Mus musculus: one gene and its partner. The protein of the gene in region 1 purifies or fractionates together with the protein of each later gene. This does not show direct contact. Links are inferred from orthologs where the notes say so. Each region holds a gene or a part of one and is shown in the gene's direction. Other genes may lie near its edges. The genes, in order: Ctnnbl1 and Prpf19.

Region 1 (4,360 bases):
GCTGTCAAAACATAAAATGTCAACCATCAAGTACAAAATGACAGATTGAGTCTGTGAACAGTAGAGGAAGTGCTAACAGAGAGAATAATGAGGAGAGGTTGTGGCAGTTTGAGGAATAACAATTTTCTTATGTGTAGTTGGAGGTAGTTGAATGGGGTTTCTGGATGGTGTCTGTTGTAATCCCAGAAGAGGAACGCCTTGACTATCTCTCAATAATGGGCAAATTCCTTCCCCAGGAACCAACCTTTATATATATATAAATGTGTGTATGCGTGTGCTTGTGGGTCTGCACAGAGACCAGAAGAGAGCACCAGATCCCCCAGAACTGGAGTTACAGGCAATTGTGAGCTGTCCAGCATGGGTGCTGGGAACGGAAGTAGACGTCTAGAGAGCAGTAAATGGTTCTAAGCGCTGAGCCATGTCTCCAGACCCCCAGACCCTTTAATACAGCTTGGGTAGACAGGAGATCTTCCAGTTGCCACTGGGTCTTGTGTTAGTGAATACAAAGAAGCCTGGGGGAAAAAAACAAACATGATATCAATGGTTTCTCAGCCACCTATGGCCGGAAGCCATTTTGTAAGCCCAGGGGAAGCATAATGGGAACCCCAAAATGAAATCCACATATACAATTTCAGTATATCTACTAAGTACGCTTAACAAATGAGAGGAAAGTCAAATTCATTTCATAATATATCTTCCTTTACCCAGTAAGTGAAAAAAAAAAAAGGAACCAGTTCAAGTACGAAAAATCCACTGTGCATTTGATTAACACTTAACATCTTTATTAGGACTAGGCACACTTCAAGTGCCCCAGAGCCACATGTGACTAACTATGGGGCGCATAATTTCAAACCTCAGCTCCTTCCTCTCCCTCTTTCCCTCCCTCTTCTCTCCCTGTAGCCCTAGCTGTCCTGGAACTCGTTTCTGTAGACGAGGCTGTCCTCGAACTCAAAACATATGCCTGCGGAGCTCTGCCTGCCTCTGCTTCCCCAGTGCTGGGATTAAAGGCATTCAACACCACCAACAGGCCAACTTCAATTATCTGTGAAATGAGAATGAAAGAACAAAAGTGCCAGTCTCTGGAAGCTCTTTAAGGTTACCCACGAAATGCCAAGCACTCTGCTCTACTCTTGGATAACGGCCTCGCTTTTAGGTTCATCCCCTAAGTATCCGCCCCTTTCCCCGCCCCTTCAGGTTACAGGCGGAAGCAGAATTGTCAAAACGCGGCGCGCTTTACGGCAGCGCGTCCTTTTACGGCAGTGTGGCGGGCTCACCGGCCACGCGCTCTTTTACTCTATTGGTTCTGGGGCCTGGCGCTTTACGGCAGTGTGTCAGGAAAAGCCTCTGAGCGGCCCGTGGTTCGGGAGTTGAGTGGAGGCAACCAGGGTACCCTGTGCTGATTGGGTCCGGAACCATGGACGTGGGCGAACTTTTAAGCTACCAGGTAAGAGCAGTTGGCGAGGCCGGAGGGCTCCTCATCCTCGCTCGGGTAGCAGGGACAGAGTCCCGTCATCTTGCCTCCCCTCGGTCCCTGGCCCTCACTTCTCATGTCACCCGGGCTTGCATCCTGTCATTGCACTTCACTCCCCTAAGCCCTCTGGACCCTTTCGACCCCTTCCTTCTCCAGACCTGAGCCTTGTGATTTCTGTTCCCCACCCGGTAGCCCTCAGCTCCTCTTCCGTCTCGTTTCTACCAATTCACAGGGCTTGGGGAGACAGTTGTGAAGACCCCCGCCCCCCCCCCCCCCCCGGTGTTGAGCCTCAGTTTCTTTACCAAGTGTCAGTGTAGCTTTGGAGAAGTCTTTCTCCCGTCACGGAGTCTCAATTCTTCTTTTAAAATCTATAAAGTGGATGGATGTATGTGAAAGGTCATTTGAAAGTGCAGAAACCTGTGCCCACGTTCCCTGCTATTGTTAAGCTGTTTGGAAGACGGAGCTTGGAATGGGTCGGTAAGAGACCTCTCGACCTCCTTGCTCAGGGTGCTTGTGAGGAACGGGTGACCCAGAGAGAAGAAAGGACTCTCTTGAGGTCACTCAACAGTTACAAAGCTCAAGTGTCCAGACTCCCAACTCAGAGTTTTGTCCCTCTTTTGACTGCCTAACGAGGCTTCTTGTGTCCATCTTTGTTTTCATTAGCTGCAATAGGCGTTGGGACCCATAAACTGTAATTATTCTGAATTAGGAAGTACTGTAATTGTAAATCACACTTCATTTTAAAGACTTAGTATGAAAAAGGTAGTATTTTTATATTGATCACAGATCCTTGATCATATTGATTGAATATGTATGAGGCCATAATATGATGGAGCAGACTTTGGGTGATGGATGAAATAAAAAGTGGGTAAGCCAACCTTATCCACTTGCATTTTGTTCAAGGTGTGATGTTTTAAAAGTGATAGCTTTGCAGTCAAGAGTAGGCAGTGAGAACCTGTGAACTTGAGTTTAAAAGTGATAGCTCTAGGCCGGGCGTGGTGGCTCGTGCCTTTAATCCCAGCACTTGGGAGGCAGAGGCAGATGGATTTCTGAGTTTGAGGCCAGCCTGGTCTACAGAGTGAGTTCCAGGACAGCTAGGGCTATACAGAGAAACCCTGTCTCTAAAAAAAAAAAAAAAAAAAAACTCAAAAAACCCCCAAAACCAACAACAACAAAAAAGTGATATCTCTGCAGGCCAGAGTAGGCGGTAAGAACCTGTGAACCTGAGCTGTTAGCCATGGCTGCCTTGAATCTCAGTGCCTGAAAGTTGGGAGGGAGGCAGCGGCCAGTGGGTCACTGAGTTCCAGGCCAGCCAGGGGTACATACTGAGACACCCCACCACCACTACAATAAAATAAAATAAAAGGCCTGGATTTGGAGCCCCAGGTTGCCTTCCATGCCTTTTGCCTTACTAACTAGTTGTTGTAATCTTGAACAGATACCTCATGGTACCGACCTTATGGTCGGTTGTGAAGAAAGTTCTTCTTCTGGTAAGAGTCTGTTAAGAAGCTGGCGCCTTTAATCCCAGCACTTGGGAGGCAGAGGCAGGTGTATCTCATTGAGTCCGAGGCCAGCCTGGTCTACAGAGGACAGCCAAGGCTACACAGAGAGACTCTGTCTTGAAAAACCAAAAAATAAAAGCAAACCAAAATGAAAGAACAACAAAAAGCCTAGCTATGTCTGGTGGTTGGTGATTCACACCTTTAGTCCCAGCATTTGGGAGGAGGCAGAGGCAGGCGGATTTCTGAGTTTGAGGCCAGCCTCGTCTACAGAGTGAGTTCCAGGACAGCCAGGGTCTCACAGAGAAATCGTGTTCAGAAACCAAACCAAACCAAAAGAAAAGAAAAAAGAAAAGAGAAAAAAAAAGCAGTGTTAGGCCAATGTTTGTTGCAGTTAAAACAGCCCATAAATACTAATATTGGTAGTTATTTCCTTTAGCCAATATATACAACACTGACCCCGTAGATGGAGACTCCAGGCCTGATGAGAAAGAATACATTAAAAGAAAAAAAGGGAAAGAATACATAAGCAACAGATAACAGATGCGAGGCCATAATAGTTTTCTCTTTAAGATATGTAATTGGTGATGAAACAAGAAAGATGGTGGGAAGGTCACCGATGAGTGCTCGTCTGGGAGTTCTGGGCTGGCTAGTCCAGTCCATTGTTTCAGATGTGGAGCAACACTACCAGAAGGGGCCCATTCTTTGGTTACAGATATTTATTGACCATCTACTGTGTGCAATGCACTTGGTCCACTGAGCATATGATGTGGAAAGAAATGAGACAAGGCTCTTGCTTTTGTGTGAAAAGGCAAATATGGTGGGGGAGTCACCAGAGAATAACTAAGGAAGTAAACAAGAACTTCAGATGGCTGGACGTGTTGTGAGGGAGTGCAGCAGGGTCCGCCGCGGACATGTGAGCATACGTGGTGGCTGTTGTGCACATGGCTAGTGCACGTCAAAAGGGGGGCCCATCTGCATCAAGTTCTTTCTTATGTGTAAAGTGCACCCTGCATCTCACAGCCTTATTGTGGAAAGATGAAATGTCTTAATTTTTAAATATGGATTACATTTGATATACTGGATTAAGGATAATAGATTATTAAACTTAAATTTTGTGCCTACTTCCAAGTTTAATCTTCTATGTAAAGTTTGTGACTTCCACTGCATTTCTGTAGGCCAGCGCCATTGTAAATAGCTCCTTTTAGGGTCTCTGTAGACTGAGTGATCAGGGAAGGAGTCTGATGAGCCAGCATTAGTGCTCTGAAGGTTGAGGAGCCAGCATATGACAGGGCAGAATAGTGAAGGCAGGAGCAGCGACTGTGAGTGCAGGCCTAGGCCCATTAGATGAGTAGAGAGAAGAGCCGTGTAGCCCGAACTTGGTGAGTGA
Region 2 (4,362 bases), on another chromosome or scaffold:
CAAGGCAGGCAGAACATAGTTACCATGCTTGCTGTGATTGGCAGGGCTAGGACATGTGGCCATTGCCTCTGTCTGTCCTGATTTCTTAGAAGGTTAGAAAGCTAGTTTTAATTTGCTACCATAGAACTCCATTATGACTGATACCATTTTAGTTTATTTACTTACTCTCAATGTGCCACCAGGCCTAGCCTATTTATTTATTTTACTGTGTGTGCTTGTGTGTGTGTGTGTGTGGGGGGGGTGTCTTGGGGACTGAACTCGGGTATCAGGCTTGGTAGCCGATCTGGTCCGGTCTTTAGTAGAGAAAACAAAAGAAGTTGGCAGGAGGCAGGGAACTGTTATTATAACAAAACACCTGAGGTAGGCTACTTTAAAGAAAAGAGGGTTCTCCTTGCTCAAATTTCTAGAAGCACAAGGTTCAAAGAGAATGACGTGGGCAATGTCTAGGGCCTCTTCCTTGCTGGTGTCACATTGCCATGGAAGTCAACTGGTTCATTTGTGCCTGTTCACTCTTTCTTTCCCTATATGAACTCCACCAGGATTCTTGTAATGTCTTATTCTAAAGATCCCACCTCTACATTCCACAGTTAAGCTAGATAGTAATGACACACACCTTTGATTTCAGCACTCAAAAGGCAGAGACAGGAAGATCTTTGAGTTTGAGGCCAGCCTTATCTGCAGACTGAGTTCCAGGACAGCCAGGGCTACACACACACACACACACACACACACACACACACACACACAAACCCAGTCTCAAAAAAACAAAAACAAAACCACAGAAAAACACCATAGTCGTGCTAACTTTCCACTCTTACTGTTTGGTTGCTTATTGAGACATGTTCTCTCTACACAGCTCTGACTGCCCTGGATTGGAGCTCACTATATAACCAGGTTGGACTTGTACTCCGAGATCTGCCTGCCTCTGAAGCCCAGTGCCTGTGTTTAAAGACTTCTGCAAACACACCCATCAAATTTCCATTCTTTTAAACGTACACATAAGACGCTGGGAACTAAATTCCCTTGAGTTTACAAAACAGACTATATTTAAAACGTAGCAGGCAACGAAGTCATTGGCTTGCCCATATTTCCAGAGCAAGAATTTAGGCAGTGTTAGTTTCTTTACTCATTTGTGCTTTATTTACAGGGTCACATTGTTTCTCAAAAGCCGGCCAAGGAACACAGGTCTCCGAATCATGCCTACAGACTCTCTAAGGCAGACTCTAGGAATCTGCACTTTTACAAGCTCCTGAAAAATCTGTCTTGCACACGACCATTTCAAAGACTAGTGTTCCCTAGGTGACAGCAGCTCCATCTAAAAAAAAAAAAAAAAAAAAGAGCCTTGGCGGTCCCCGCAGCCTCATGGGAAATGTAGTTTCTTCTCTCCTTCCCGCCTCAGGCCTCTTGGAGCGCTCGCCGGAAGAAGCCGAGCCAATGCGGAAACAGCCGAGTGTTTCGAGGCGGGCCTTTTCCTGCTCGGTTGCATGCTGGGAAAGGGCAGTTTCCGTTAGCTGCAGAAGGCTGAGGCGCGCCACCGGCCACCTCCCCACGTGAAGCAGTTGTGCGAGCATCGCCACGCTGGGCAGCTGTCTACCCGCGTCCGAGCGCTCCGGAAGCGGCGGGGGACCGGAAGTGGCCCGCGGAGGCTGCAGAGAACCGGGAACCCTCTGTGAGGCGACTGGCAGCAGCGCTACGACGGCGCCATGTCCCTGATCTGCTCGAGTGAGTGCTGGCTGCGGCGGGAGGCGGGAGCGTGTGTGGCCCCTGTGGCTCGGGCCCTGGAGCTCCCGGCCCTGCGTGCAGGGTGCATTTGCGCAGGGCTGCGCAATTCACGTAGCTGGGAAGAATGACTGTCTCAGGGGTCTTTTGAAACCGGCGTCGTTTTACAGAGCTGAGACAGGCCTGAGCAGAAGTGGGGGGGAGGAGCTGGTGCAGTGAAAAACAGCTCTTGGTGTCAAAAAACCCGAGGACATGCCCAGGATCCGCCTCCAATTGTGATCTGGGCTCTAGCGGGTTTGGGCCTCAGTTTCCCCATCTGCAAAATTGAAAGCATTGCAGTGGGCATTGCTTGGGAAACCTCGCTTAGGAATCGGACTTTCCGATTTGCAGAGATCACGCAGTGACTTCGAGACAGGGCTGGAAGCCAGGTGTCTGGCTTCTAGCCTCGCGCAGTATGACTAATGAAAACAGCGAATGTTTAGAAAACCTGTATTGATTTACGATGCATTTCCAAACGGTGATCTCATTTTATGCTTACAAGAATTGTCTGAAGGGAAATAAAGATCCGTGAGTTACAGAGGGTGTCGGAAGTCTTGAAGAATGGGTTTACCTAGGGGTGTGCGAGGAAGCTAAGCAGTGGAGCTTGGCTCTTTGAGCCTGGATCCATGGTTTTCCCGTGCACTATGCTGTCCTGTCTTGGGGTGTTGTATTACGGCATTGCGGGTGTTCTCCCATATTGTTTACCACGTTACTAGATTCCTCGCCTTCTCTATTTCCCTCTCAGAACGTTGCCATTAGTTCAAAGAAGGAAAAGGAGGAGGGAAATGACAAGCAGAAAAGGAAATCTCATACTAGAGAAATTGCAGTTTGCAAAGTATTTACAAACGATTTGTTTTCTTTCCATCTTTGAGACCACACTCTTACGTGCCCAGGGCTATCCTTCCTCTGGTAGAAGAGGGAAAGCTCCCAGAAAGCTTTAGTCGTCGAGTAGTGTGATAAACCAACAGAATAGGACAGGAAGGCCGTGTACAAGATACGGGTTTTAAATATGGCACAAATCCATACTTAATAACACATGCATGGGAGTCCTGCAAAAATAGGTGATTCTAAGAGAAGCCACGGAGAAGAATAGGAGCTTGAACCTTAGGATGGTGACTCACAACCTATGGGAGGCTGAATAGAATTGTGTGGTGAATAAGAGCTGTTTTGTGATGTGACAAGTCGCTATCTTAGAGCAGCTTTCAGAAGAGTCTGATGTGGAGGTAGCTTCCACTTGTCTGCTAAAGTGAACCAGTTGACCCTGTTTAGGGGAAGGTAGAGAAACAAGTCTGAGAAGGTCAGAGAGACCTTGGTTTTAAGCCTGCTTTTGGGGCCTTCATTTCTTTATTTTTTATTTTGGTAGTTAAGCATGCTCAAGGCTTCGTACTTTGGAATATTCTTTTCTGGGCCCCGGGACTTTTGCACTCATTTACCCTGTTATGATGTTTATCAAGTGTCAGCTTAGTATCTGCATTGTCCTGGAGGTCAGTGACAGCTGTAACGGCCATCTTCAAGGGTACACAGACTATTCTGTCAAGCGCTTAGAATAGAATCTTGCTTGGCATGTAGTAGCAGAGCTCTTTGTTTGCTTGTTTTCATTTTATCAGTACTTGTCACGTTGCTTCGGAATTTCTCCTGTTGATCTGTCTAGGGCTCCCACTGGATGACAGGTTTGAGTTGTGCTCTGTGTGCTTCTCTGTCCATCTCGGTTCAAAAATGAGATGGGCAGGACTTACTGACCACTCTGTACAGTACTGGCACATAGGATCTGGGCAGTTATTATTTATTGACTTTTATTATCAGCAGACCAGAGAATTTAGCTAAGTAGTTGGCGAGCATTGTAGGACCAAGTACGGGCAGGCTTGCTGTCACAGACCTTGCTTCCTGATAGCTGACTAGGAGGACATGGTCTTGTTGGGGCTGACACAATGAAGAATCTCCTCTGCCCACGTCTCCTTTTCTCCTGTGCTCACTCTCACTACCTGTCTTTCTCTATAGTCTCCAATGAAGTGCCAGAGCACCCGTGCGTGTCCCCTGTCTCTAATCATGTGTATGAGCGGCGACTCATTGAGAAGTACATTGCAGAGAATGGCACAGATCCTATCAACAACCAGCCTCTCTCAGAGGAGCAGCTCATCGACATCAAAGGTGCCTGCCCAGTAGCCTCAAGTCCAAGGCCAGCTCAGCTCAGCCTTCACCGGTGGGGGGTGGAGCCAATCTGGTGGAGAAGATGGTGGCTGGGGGTGGGGGTGGTGGGGGAGAGTTCCCTGGGTTCTAGTTCTTCATACCTACTTTGCTGCCTCTCTTGGCAGTTGCTCACCCAATCCGACCCAAGCCTCCCTCCGCCACCAGCATCCCAGCCATTCTGAAAGCCTTGCAGGATGAGTGGGTGAGTTCTGTGAAAAGAATGCACCTCTGGGCTAGGACCTGGGGATTGAAAAGATGGGGCCTCCCTCCTCCCTCCTCTCCCCTCCCCTCCCCTCTCTCTTCTGTGTCTGGGTCTTTGGCTTACATGTATGACCGTGTCTGGGTCTTTGGCTTACACGTATGACCGTGTCTGGGTCTTTGGCTTACACGTATGACCGTGCATTACTTATGTGCCTG

What was found.
Region 2: the proteins of Ctnnbl1 (region 1) and Prpf19 purify together in Homo sapiens (affinity purification with mass spectrometry; 4 studies listed by BioGRID and IntAct, counting the BioPlex papers as one, with this or other methods). This does not show direct contact. The link is inferred for Mus musculus from reciprocal best matches to the Homo sapiens genes CTNNBL1 and PRPF19.

What each region holds. Positions count from the first base shown.
Region 1 is NC_000068.7:157,736,116-157,740,475, forward strand, and holds the start of Ctnnbl1 (beta-catenin-like protein 1), read left to right. Parts: upstream 1-1,285; 5' UTR 1,286-1,414; coding exon 1,415-1,444; intron 1,445-4,360. UniProt on the Homo sapiens protein: Component of the PRP19-CDC5L complex that forms an integral part of the spliceosome and is required for activating pre-mRNA splicing.
Region 2 is NC_000085.6:10,893,747-10,898,108, forward strand, and holds the start of Prpf19 (pre-mRNA-processing factor 19), read left to right. Parts: upstream 1-1,484; 5' UTR 1,485-1,703; coding exon 1,704-1,722; intron 1,723-3,756; coding exon 3,757-3,906; intron 3,907-4,070; coding exon 4,071-4,147; intron 4,148-4,362. UniProt on the Homo sapiens protein: Ubiquitin-protein ligase which is a core component of several complexes mainly involved pre-mRNA splicing and DNA repair. Required for pre-mRNA splicing as component of the spliceosome.